Linked DNA regions of Bombyx mori. The protein of the gene in region 1 purifies or fractionates together with the protein of each later gene. This does not show direct contact. Links are inferred from orthologs where the notes say so. Each region holds a gene or a part of one and is shown on either strand. Other genes may lie near its edges. The genes, in order: FGFR1 oncogene partner 2 homolog, programmed cell death protein 10 and sarcolemmal membrane-associated protein.

The links.
Region 2: the proteins of FGFR1 oncogene partner 2 homolog (region 1) and programmed cell death protein 10 purify together in Homo sapiens (affinity purification with mass spectrometry; 3 studies listed by BioGRID and IntAct, counting the BioPlex papers as one, with this or other methods). This does not show direct contact. The link is inferred for Bombyx mori from reciprocal best matches to the Homo sapiens genes FGFR1OP2 and PDCD10.
Region 3: the proteins of FGFR1 oncogene partner 2 homolog (region 1) and sarcolemmal membrane-associated protein purify together in Homo sapiens (affinity purification with mass spectrometry; 3 studies listed by BioGRID and IntAct, with this or other methods). This does not show direct contact. The link is inferred for Bombyx mori from reciprocal best matches to the Homo sapiens genes FGFR1OP2 and SLMAP.

Annotation. Positions count from the first base shown.
Region 1 is NC_085119.1:12,364,538-12,368,804, reverse strand, and holds the start of FGFR1 oncogene partner 2 homolog, read right to left. Parts: upstream 2,944-4,267; 5' UTR 2,743-2,943; intron 2,671-2,742; coding exon 2,536-2,670; intron 1,723-2,535; coding exon 1,471-1,722; intron 399-1,470; coding exon 270-398; intron 1-269. UniProt on the Homo sapiens protein: May be involved in wound healing pathway.
Region 2 is NC_085110.1:8,725,589-8,729,869, reverse strand, and holds the start of programmed cell death protein 10, read right to left. Parts: upstream 2,826-4,281; 5' UTR 2,008-2,825; coding exon 1,936-2,007; intron 1,339-1,935; coding exon 1,161-1,338; intron 995-1,160; coding exon 862-994; intron 539-861; coding exon 377-538; intron 1-376. UniProt on the Homo sapiens protein: Promotes cell proliferation. Modulates apoptotic pathways. Increases mitogen-activated protein kinase activity and STK26 activity. Important for cell migration, and for normal structure and assembly of the Golgi complex.
Region 3 is NC_085114.1:11,213,199-11,216,853, forward strand, and holds part of sarcolemmal membrane-associated protein, read right to left. Parts: intron 1,083-3,655; coding exon 966-1,082; intron 1-965. UniProt on the Homo sapiens protein: Associates with the striatin-interacting phosphatase and kinase (STRIPAK) core complex, forming the extended (SIKE1:SLMAP)STRIPAK complex.

The DNA.
Region 1 (4,267 bases):
AGGATCTGCATGAAAATAGAAGCGATAGCTGCTTATATACTATTCCAGGATTCTTTCTAAAATGATCTTCAATCTATTGTCATACTAATAGTGTCCATAAGATCTTACAGAAAACTATAAAAGTATTTTTTTTTTTAAACCTGCAATAAATCTATGAACTATAAGCAAATAAGCTGATGGAATACTTTCATAATTAAGTAGCATTTGTGTGTGGAGAAGAAAGCCCCATCAACCATATTATGTTGTACAATACTTTAGAAACTTCTTACCTTGTTTTCAGTAATGAGCCTTTGGTAAAGCTCTTCATCCTTCCTGGCTTCACTATTCTCGTCCATATTTATTGCTTTGTACATAACAGTTGTCATTTCATTGATTCGTTCTGCTTGCTGGCGTATCAACTGAAACATAAGATATTTTTCTTCTGTGAATTTATTATCATGTTTGAGTGATATGCCTTCTATATGTCAAAATATTCTAAAGTAAAAACATGAAACTAAACTAATCGATTTAAGGCTTGCTTGTGGTAAAAAATTCACTTGCCGTGAATGATCTTTATTTTTATAGTATTTGCAAGTGAATGAAATCACAGCCCATTTGGCATTTAGTGCCTAACAGTCATTACAATGTGAATGCAGACCACACCTTGATACTTGAAATCTATATCTCATTGGAAAGAACAGCATATAAAATACATAAAGTTTTACAGCTTTCCCACTCTCTAGGCCGGATCATTTCTTTGTGGCAGAAATAGGCAGAATGGTGGTACCTACCTATGTAGGATAACAAGGTGCCTTATCACCAGTAATAATGCAAATTAGTACTTTGGCAGGAGTTCTTATTTTTTTTTTTTATTGCTTAGATGGGTGGACGAGCTCACAGCCCACCTGGTGTTAAGTGGTTACTGGAGCCCATAGACATTTACAACGTAAATGCGCCACCCACCTTGAGATATAAGTTCTAAGGTCTCAGTGTAGTTACAACGGCTGCCCTACCCTTCAAACCGAAACGCACTACTGCTTCACGGCAGAAATAGGCAGGGCGGTGGTACCTACCCGTGCGGACTCACAAGAGGTCCTACCACCAGTAATTACGCAAATTATAATTTTGCGGGTTTGATTTCTATTTATTGTTATTCCACGATGTTATTCCTTCACCGTGGAAGTCAATCGCGAACATTTTGTTAAGTACGTATTTCATTAGAAAAATTGGTACCCACTTACACATTACAGAATGTTATTCCTACATTGTAGACTGCATTCCAAAATCAGTATCTGCTTGTTTAATTAAAATATTGATATATTAGCAATGCTTGACACTAGTACTTTATTTGAGTACCAAGCATTCTTTACTTTAAAGATTTTTACATTTGTTATAAATTTGATTTCTTGGGAAAATCTACTGTGAAATACTTTGATAAAAAGGAACATAACACAAAAATAGTAAGGATTCTATGTCATAAAAGCAAAAAACCTCTTGTTGTTTCTCATTTATAGCTGAGGTGAAATCTATTCTTGACTCCCATATTTTCTTCTCTGTATGCTGTCGATATTTTGACATGATTAATTCCAAGGCTCGTCTGTGATCTTCTAGTGCAGCTCTGAGCTCACCATTCTCCCTCTGCACACCCCTCATGAGCTGAGACTCTCTCTCTATGCTGGCGATGAGAGCCCCTCTTGGTCTCTCTCGTGATGCCTCATTTAATGTATCAACTTCTTCTTTATACTAAAGAAAATAGTTATAATTTAGAATGACATCATAACATGTTTGTCAGAAGTAAGGATTATAATAAACAAATAAACTGATTAGAATTATTACACTGACTTAAATAGCAGAAATACAAGTACAGGAAAAACAAATTTCGTTTTGTTTATGTTAGGCATATTGAGTAGACCACAATAAATCATTCAATATGCCAAATTACTACTCTATATGACCACTATCTAAATGCTAAATATAATCACATAAATAAGTAATTTGATGAGTTTATGACATAATATCATTTTCTTATTAGTATTGATTGAAACTCTAGTAAAGTAGATGTGTTGTTCGCAAAACATATCATTACAGATCCCAGATTCAATTTACAGTAATAGTACAAAATTTAAGGTTTTTAAAATAAAATAAAACGCTACGTTAAGTTATTGGCGTGTACTACGTGTAAAATATCGTATATTATATAAGTATTGTCATTAAAAATAATGATTAAATTTATGACCAAAATAATATTTTTGGTTTCTATTTATATTATGTATTTTATCCAATAATATTAAAAAGAACTTCTTTATTTTGAAGGTACCATAACTTTGTGAAAGCTTGCGTGTTTGAATGTTGTTTACAAAACTGACAATTAAACTCAAGGTCACCAATACAATCCAATCATATTAGATTGGAATTAATAACAAGATCATTATTCTAATCACATTAAGTTTAAGTTAAAACGTCGAATATAAAACCATTTTTTCTTTCGAAAATGGGGCCTAATGTTTAAGTTCTTTAACACTGTTTAAATTAATAGAGTGCATAAGAAAATCTTACCTGTTTCATTGTATGAATTTGTCGATAAGTTGCTTGGGTTTCGCTCAACAGAGCATCAGCCTCTGTTTCGCGTTCTTTAAGACGACCTGCGAGCCTTTTTGCATCCAAAATTATTTGCTGGATAGTCAGTGACATCTGAAAAAGCCAGCAATATAGACACCAAGAAATTTACTTTCATAAACTGATCCGTGACACGGTTTAACACACCCTGATTTCAAAGCTAAACAATGAAACGAATGGGGTTTCATCTAAATAGTATTACACTCTAGAATGAAAGAAACAAGTTTTTATTGAAGATCGAACGATGCACCATCAGCTGTTTCGTGAACAGTTTCAGCCATTAGCTTTCATTATGTTTGATTTGAAGCGACTTATTATACGGACAATTTTAAAGAATACCTTGAAATGACGTCGAAACTCTTCTGTCAAATAAAAAGGTTTGTAGAGCGACAAAGACAAAACATATTTACGATTAGATTTGAAATTAGTTTGGTGTCCATGGTATGACAATTTTTTTTTAAATTATGAGCATTGCCTACACCGCTTAAATGCCTCAACTTGCAACAATATTTTAAATCACCAGATTATATGGTAAGATCACCGTGCCACTGGATATTAATTCAAATATCCTAATGCTTCAAAAATAGTTTAAGTTGTAGAAGTGTAAAACACACCATTGAACGTACCTGCCACCGGAGTAGAGTAGCGTTCATCACAGTGCGCTTCCAGAGATCTTTTTTCCCACGTACCTACCATACGGCTCTGGATTGAGTTTACCACACATTCATTTGCCCAGTTGCGCCGACGATTGCGAAGGTAATGGACGTATCGTCATTTTCATAGTTCGTGGCGTCTCCTGTGTAGCGTATCTTCATCAAAAGAAATCCCATAAAAACAGCATGGCTGTTAATGATGTCTGGGAAAGAATTCAAAACTCTTTTTCTCGTCAATGTTCTATTGACGAATTAAAAAGGAAGAGAAATTCGTGAGACATTCGTAAACAAGTGTAGGAAGAAGCGCAAACGGGTTCGCAAATTAAATACCGAACCCATTTGCAAAGCTAAGTTTGCGAATGAATGTTTGACGGCCCTACACATGCGCGCAAACAGTGGCCGGCATAAGAAGAAGTAGGTAGGTACCACAAATGGGAAAACCTGAGAAAATAAGCCTTGAAAAATGCTCCACTAATCCTAGGTGAGCTGTCGTGAAATGAAAACACCAATAAAGTATCGATTTCAACAGGTAAAGGCGTCCCTTCAAAACATCAAACTTGACTGGCAGAAATTAGAACGTTAAGCAAAATAATAATTTAAAATAAAAATAAATATGATTTTTTATGGGATTTTGTGACCTGGTAATTATGACCTTTAAGTCATGTCTTATTTTAATTTATATTCTAAATTTTATGAAAAATGATAACATGGAGTGAAATGAAATGAAGATGATTAATTTGAGACATTCATCAACTGGGATGAAATGAAATTAAATGAAATGAGATGATATGAGATGAAATATAATCTCGAGAAGTTACGTCCAACGGCTTTATTTCATTTTCCCACATTTGTGCACCTTCACAGATACTAAACAGTTAATAAACCACCGTTATTACACATTTAAACCTGAAGAAACACTAAACAGACAAACTAAAAAAAATCACACAACTTCACTCCTCGCGTTCCCGCCAAAAAGTCCATCTGTTACTTAAGTAGTATGCATAAATTATATACTTGTA
Region 2 (4,281 bases), on another chromosome or scaffold:
TTATTTTATTATTTGCTTTGCAATGCGGTTTTTCTTAGTGCCAAATTATGATGAAGCGGCGTGCATAGCAATAGGAATATGTCTCAAGTCGGCGCACACTTGCCACTTTTTCGTACAAAACGTGTTGTTTTAGTGATCGTTGGGATTCACAAGGTGTTGCATAGTAGTTACTGCACCTTATCTTTCGTTAAAATTAGCAAATGTATGTGATTCGGTAGTAAGTAAATAATTTTTATCTTTTTCTTTGTGTGCCGCCAAATTTTGAAATAGTTAAATATGTGCCGCAACAAAAAAAAGGTTCAGAATCACTGCTCTAATGCAATAAAAATAAAAAACAATGGATCTCCGATTGTAACTAATTGACATAAATACTCACTGTCCTTCTTTAAAGTATTCTTTGAGTGTAGTAGAAAATCGCTTTGAATATTTTACAAATTCTCTTTTCCTCTGTTCTAATACTTGCTTCCCAGGACCTGGAGTATATGTAGATACCTCATTTACAGCATCCAGTAATTTTTTTATGGCAGAGGCTATTTCCCTGTTAAATTATATACTATGGTTATTACAATGTTGATTATTATATCAACGCTTGAAAGGCAAATGTGACTAAGCAATAATAACTGCTTTGTACATAAATGATAGGCAATAACCATATTTAATGCGTAAAAAATATATATTTCTAGGTATATTAAAAACATTTCAATCCTACAGCTAGATTCATTAAAATTGAATTTTTTTCAGGTATTTCAGCTTTAAATTGGTCTACTGTAAAGTACACGCATTGTCACTTAGTCATGTTTGCCTTTCAAGTGTTGATATATTAAAGAATACAACCAATATTGCATTTTCTACAGCACATACTTGATAGTCTCAAGAAAAGTCTTCCGATCAGTTATCTCATCTGGAATGCGACTCAGTATCTTTTTCAAAGCAGCAGATTTCTTATTAAGCTCCTGAAATGCCTCTTCAGTCCTGTTCAGCCTTAAATCAGTACCTATAAACAGAACTTTCTTGAGATTACATTGTAAAATCGTTTGTTTTTTAATTTTGTCTTTATCGTTTTATTTCTGAAAAATGGTCAGTTTTCATAACTTGAAGGTTTTTTAAATAGTATCATAAACTTGTAAGTTAACTAAATACAAAAAAATATAAATTCATACATTCTGAATCTGTGAGACTCCCTTGTAATCTTAATAAGCTCTCATTCATATTAACAGGAATATCTGCTCTCCTCATGATTCCTGCCACCAAATCATAATTAAGACCAGGTACTGCAGCCTCTGCTTTGGTGAGAGCTGCTCGTAATGTCTGAGAGGCAGCCAGATCATATTTCTCCAGCTGAAAACACATTTTAAAACATACTTTAGGTGGGAAAATAATATTAATAATAGTCTATCTGGCTATCGACTTTGCTTGGGTCGACAAAATACATACTACTATTAATACTTACCTTTCCTATAACAGTACTACTATTTTCACCATTTTCATCCTTAAATTCCTATAATTTTGCGTCTATTTGCTACCTAATCTAAGACGACATTGATCAAAATGAACACACATGTACCATTTTATTTTTCCCAAGAAATAACAATGTCTGCTTTATCTTGCTCTGTCAGTTATCCTGCTCGGATAACTTTTTGTATCAGGCAATTGAGACTTGAAGTTTAGGGCAACAGTATTCATGATATTTTTTCTAAGAACTCCAGTAACCAGTAACAAAATATGAATAAAGTTATGAAAGCAATATTACAGTGGTTTCTTTATTATTAACGACTGTAAAACAAAAGATACAAGATCAATTCATTTTATTAATTCTGATATTGGGTCTTGTTGAGGTTACCAAGAAACTAGTTGATAGTTAAGTTACCTTGATTAGAATGCCTAAAATGATAAGGTCATATTTTAATACATGTAAGTAGATTTAGAACGACTCACCTGCGTTAGGACAGGGCGAATTAAAACTGGTAATACCAAAGAAGTCACAGGCAATTCATCGCCCATTGTCATTGTGATAGTTTAAATATTTCAATTTATCTAAGAAATTTATAAAACCCCAATGATTGTAGGCCAGTAACAATCAGATAAAAACAGTTTAATTAATGAAGGTAAATTTTGTAATCATTGGTGACAATTTGAGAAATATGTCAAGTGGTAGTACTTCCCTTTTTCTAACTGGAAAGGCGAAAGTATCACCTTACAACCAAATTGTTCCTTTTTTATGAAAAATGAAGAGAACGAAATTAAATTAATTAATTTGAAATATGAATCAATTAGGATGAAAGTAAATGAAACAAGATGAGTTGGGATGAAGTATAGTCTGAGTGATATGGTTATTTACTGAGACTTTTTGGAAGATCCTGGGAAACTACACCCAGCACGGCGCCGCGGCGGCTTTGTTTCATTTTTCCACATTTTTGCCCTTTCACGGGTACTAAACATTTAATAAACCACTGCTATTACACATTGAAACCCAAAGAAAGACTAATTTAATAAATAAAACAATTCACACAACTTCTCGCCCCGCGTTCCCGCCAAAAGTCAAACAACGTGAACGTATTGAATTTTCTTGTTTGATTAGTCCATTGTAAACGAAATGTAAGCACCTACAGCTAAATCCTTTGTACTTTGAAAATTACAAGAAAATATCATAGGCATAGTTTTTAGGGTTTTCATGAAAAGACCATGACAATACAACTGACGCATGGCTTTAATATTTTAATATTTAATAAAAATTTAGGAGTATGATCAAAGTTTCTTTGCCTCTTCACCAGATCAATAAAAAAAAAATACGATTTCACTCATTGAACCACAGATTGAGAGAGGCGGGAACCTTCAAAAAATTTGGGACGGAACTTGAGAAGAGGGCCAATTAAAAAATTCATATCCTTTTTAACTAATTTAATTTGATATTCTGTAGATATTGTAGCATATTTTAGTTTATAACTGTATATATGTTTAGTTTATAATTGTATATTTTAGTACTTTAGCGTAGATAGTATGGAGTTGGAGGCGGGAACGGATCCCCCGGATCCGAATATTACTGAGGAGACAACTGATACGACTAACTCAAGGTTTAGCCAACCAATATTTTTCTGTGATGAGTTCGACCTTTCCAACGTATCTGAATTTGTCAACGTTAAATCGAAGAAATCCCAAAAAAAGAAACTTGTTAATTCTTTTAAACCAAAGATCTCGGACAAACAACTTTCGTTGCGCCCGCTGCAGCAGGCTTTGGCGGGAAATCTTGCAAATAACGTAAATAAGCTTATAGTGCCTCCTCGCCAAATTGTACAGACCTCACCAGAGCCTACTTCAGCGAGTCCTTCTATGACACCATCTGAGACCCCAATGGCTGACTCTGTTTACAGAAAAAAATACACTGAACAGGATCCTGGTCCATATATGGTCCATGTTACTTTAATCTCAGATTCTAATAGTACTACATCACTGCACCCACTTAAATTTGGAAATTTTCTAAAGAAAAGCAATCTTGGTAATATCTTACAGGATGGAATTAAACGAGTAGGTCGTAATCGCCTGGCAATAACTTTTAAAACACATAGTGATGCCAATATTTTCATATCCAACATGTCTATGAATCCATTGTGATTCCAGTGATTCCTACATATAATATATGTAAAATGGGTTTGATAAAGGGTATCCCTCAGGAGTGGACTCATGAGGACATTGTAGACAATCTGCAAATCCCAGAAGGCTATGGACAAATTATCAAATCCCGTAGATTAAACAGGAAGTCTGTCAACTCAGATGGAACTTCATGGATTCCTACTCAAACTGTGGTCTTGACTTTTGACGGACAGTCTCTTCCCTCTAGAGTGTATTCCTTTTTTTCAAGTATTCCAGTTGAACAGTATATTTATCCAACGGTACAATGTTTCAATTGTTGTCGCTTTGGACACACTCGTGTTCAATGCAGGAGCAAACCTAGATGTAATAAATGTGCTGGAGAGCACAGCGGACTGGCTTGTAATACTGAGACTTTTTCTTGTGTTAACTGTAGAGGTGAACATATGGCTACAAACAAATCTTGCCCTGAGTTTAGTAGACAAACAAATATTAAAAAACATATGTCTCAAAACCCCATTTCATACCAAGAAGCCTCTAAATTGTTTCCTATTGTAAAGAAATCATATTCGCAAATAACATCATCTATTCCACTATCTGCCCAAAGTTTAAATGATGTAGATAGTTCAAATTCTGTCTCTTACAAAAAAACTGTTATAAAGAAGCCTAAACAGGCATCTATTTTAAATAAGGGTT
Region 3 (3,655 bases), on another chromosome or scaffold:
AATTAGACAATTTTATCGCACAACCAACCGGTCTTGCCATAATATTTTAAACGTCATAATTGACACATTTTACCAACAAAGGCAATGATACAGCAGACACCAGATGGTCAGTGCTGGCCATCGGTTAAGGCGGCAGCTGTATACCTATATCGTATTTTGAAACATAATACGTAACTGGGAGTTTTCTTGACTTCCCCACAAACAAAACTTGATACAAGGCACAGTACAAAGACAAAGTAAATATGTCTATGATTATGTAAGCAACTGCTTGCTTAGATTAAGATAAGCGTTTCTAAAAGCAAATTCCAAAAGGTAATAACTATGATGAAATATAAAACTTACGATCCCACAATTGGGTGAGGTTTAACGTTTTAAAGGCAATAAAATAAGGAATTAATGAAAACATCAACTAACCATACATTATTGAAATGACATGATTAGAATAATTATTGGCCGTGGGCGGAATCAGTGAGAGTAGTCCGTTACAGAACTATAGCACGTATAAGTGGTACAAGGCCCACTCATAATTTCAAATGTAGAATGAATTGATGACTTCAATTTCGTAACGTGCATAACTTTTATGCTATCATAACTGTAACAGTTTTCACAACGTTCGCACAGTCGTGATGTCAAAAGCGAAAATCCTATTGAATTTTTATTGAACTAAACGCGTGGTTGAGCTGACTGACGGATAGGAATTATAGCATGATTCTGGCCCTGGATTCTGTCCTTTAAGCCGTGCAAACAGAGAACAGTACCAATATTTAAAAAAAAAGCAATTGGTACACATTGCACTACTAAGTTAAAGATGTTGTTTACATTCTTACCATATTCCGTATGTGTAATAAAAATAAACAATTAAAGAACAACATGACCAACACTTCTAGAGAATTTAATGTCGAATATGATATTGTAGTTTGTTTTTTTTAGACTTGATTATGTTATTATCACGATCATCAACTTACCACAAGGTAAAAGTGTCCCTTTTCGTAGTACAGTGTGGCATGCTGCCTCGACAGAACCCGACATTCGAATATGGCGTTAGTAGGACTCGCCGCTGCACGGTAGACATTACGTCCAATCTGCAGAATATTCATAAAACAATTAATATAAATAAAATAATTATAAGACAGATTTGTACAATACAAACAGTCGAAACTCTAATTTCCATAGATAATACACATAAACTAAGTTATAGATAAGCAAATCAAGCACTCAACAAAAATGTTTACGGGTGTCGGCCTCTAGATGGCCGATTAGTTTCTCATTGCTTCTATAGATGGCAGTAACATATTACCTATCCTATATTTTATTTTTAATGAAGGATTATGTAAATTTTCAGAAACCACTAATTGATAAAATTTAATCAGTTTGTCTATAACAAATAATGACTTGCATGTTGTTTTTTTTTTCTGTGTTTAGTTTACACAATAATTAAATGTCTTAACTTTAACAACATTTATAAATAAGTACAGGGGTATCCGCTACAAGATGTCGATAGTTTCCATACAAAAAAACTATTTGTCTTAAAGTATCGCAGTTTCCGTCTAAACAAACAAATTTATTATCATAGTGATAATTCCTTTAGAGGCCCGAATCCCAGAAACATTACTATTATAGTATATATTTACTATTAAACTAGTAAACGTTATGTAACTAATTAGATGAGTGGCGTTTGGTTTATAGTTATAAATTAGCTTCGTAATCAATTCATGTTTGCGTTCATGACTCAGATATTAAAACTATTTACTTTAGCGATGCATGTGATGTTATTACACGTTATTATCATACGAGCACATTAAATTATAACGCTGTGGAACAATGAAGTTTAAATGTTTTGTACAATTATAACTTCAAATCAGAAATAGATTCGAAAGAACACTAAATCAGTTGAAAAAAAAAAAAAAAAAAAAAAAAAAAAAAAAAAAAAAACAATTGAATACATTTATGGTACTTATGTTCATAGTTTTCCATTTGTACAATCATTTGAATGTTATAGCATCTTCCTGTATGAGATAAGGAGATACAACAACTTCCTTACTGACGCTGTTAGTTGTACAGATGCGATGTCAGAAATAGTATAATTTGATTTAATTGCCACTGCGCAATTGCCATCTCAAGCACCCGGGGTCACGATGACTCAAGATTCAACGAGTAATTCTTATCTTCTTTATAAATACGATCAGATACAACAAAGAAAACTGCAGAAGGTCTTTGATAGTTTATAAGACGTTTGAAAGAACTTACATGAATCGAATGCAATGCAATAATAACAATTAAAAATGATTCAGTATAATCTTTGTATTCTCAATATCTTTAGTGAAAAATTATGCCAAATGACTACATTTACACTTCGATCTATGTATATGACATTGTGTCGAAAAGGAATCCAAGTTTATACGATATAAGCCAAACAAACAATCCGTGACATCAACCAGGTGAGATAAGGAACCCGTCACAAAGACTATTATTCTTTTACGTCAATTATAATGATCAAAAACTATTATGTGCACAGTTGATAAGTAGACAAATAAACATTATACAAAAATATTCTAATGAAGTATAGAAGAATACGTTCATATGTTTTATTAGAATTTGAGGCATCTGAACAAGTTGGATTTTATGTCAACAGTAGCAGGCAGACAGAACGTCGAGTAGCATACAAAGTAAATTATGGATAAATGCAATGGACGCGACGACAATGGAAATACTAAACAGTTTTTATTCAACGATACCTTTTGAAATTTACTCAAGAGCGTTCTCGCATTCTTAGGATCGTTTTAAAAAAGATCGGGACTGATTACAATGGTATGCGCGTTTGTTAAAGAAGAATAGGAAACAATGCGGACGTTTCGGATTTACCAAACACTTGTTCAATGATCTTTTTTTTTTTTCTATAAATAACAATGTATTAAAAGAAAAGTAGAATATATACTAATGTCGAAATTCATCACTTAACATGTAATTTAATTATATCTTTTAACGTACGTAGAATGAAGACTTGGTTGACTTGTTTTTTTTTTCAACTGCCCATAGCCGCTCACTGCGGCATTTATGTCCCCTTCGAGGTTCGCCACAATTACCGTTCTAGCCCAACCTGCATCCAGCGGATTCCCGCGACCTTTAGCAGGTCGTCCGTCCAGCTCGTAAGAGCCCATTTGTCTACCCTTTTTTTCTTCATCTTATCCCACTAGGTAGGGTCGGCACAGCTAATTTTTCTCTTCCATTCCCTGCTATCAGCCGTCAGCTCAACACTCACTCCTCTCGCTCTCATATCGTCATTCACACACTCCAGCGATGTCTTCTTTTTTATTTCTTAGATAGGTGGACGAGCTTATAGGCCACCTAGTGTTAAGTGGTTACTGGAGCCCATAGACATCTACGACGTAAATGCGCCAATGTAATGCGTAAATGTGTTACTTTGTAAATTTATACAAGGTGTAAGATATCCGTTCTCGACAAGGAAATTATGAAGAATAATAAATACAGAGTTGGATCCGCCCACTGACCTCCCTCTCGAAGTTGGACTTATCTAACCGGACTGTTTGTCCCAGGTATATATTTTTGTCTTCAACAGCAAAAGCAGAGTTACCGACAGTTAGTGAGTTTAACACGGTCATTGAACATGATTGTCGCACATTTTTACGTCGTCGTG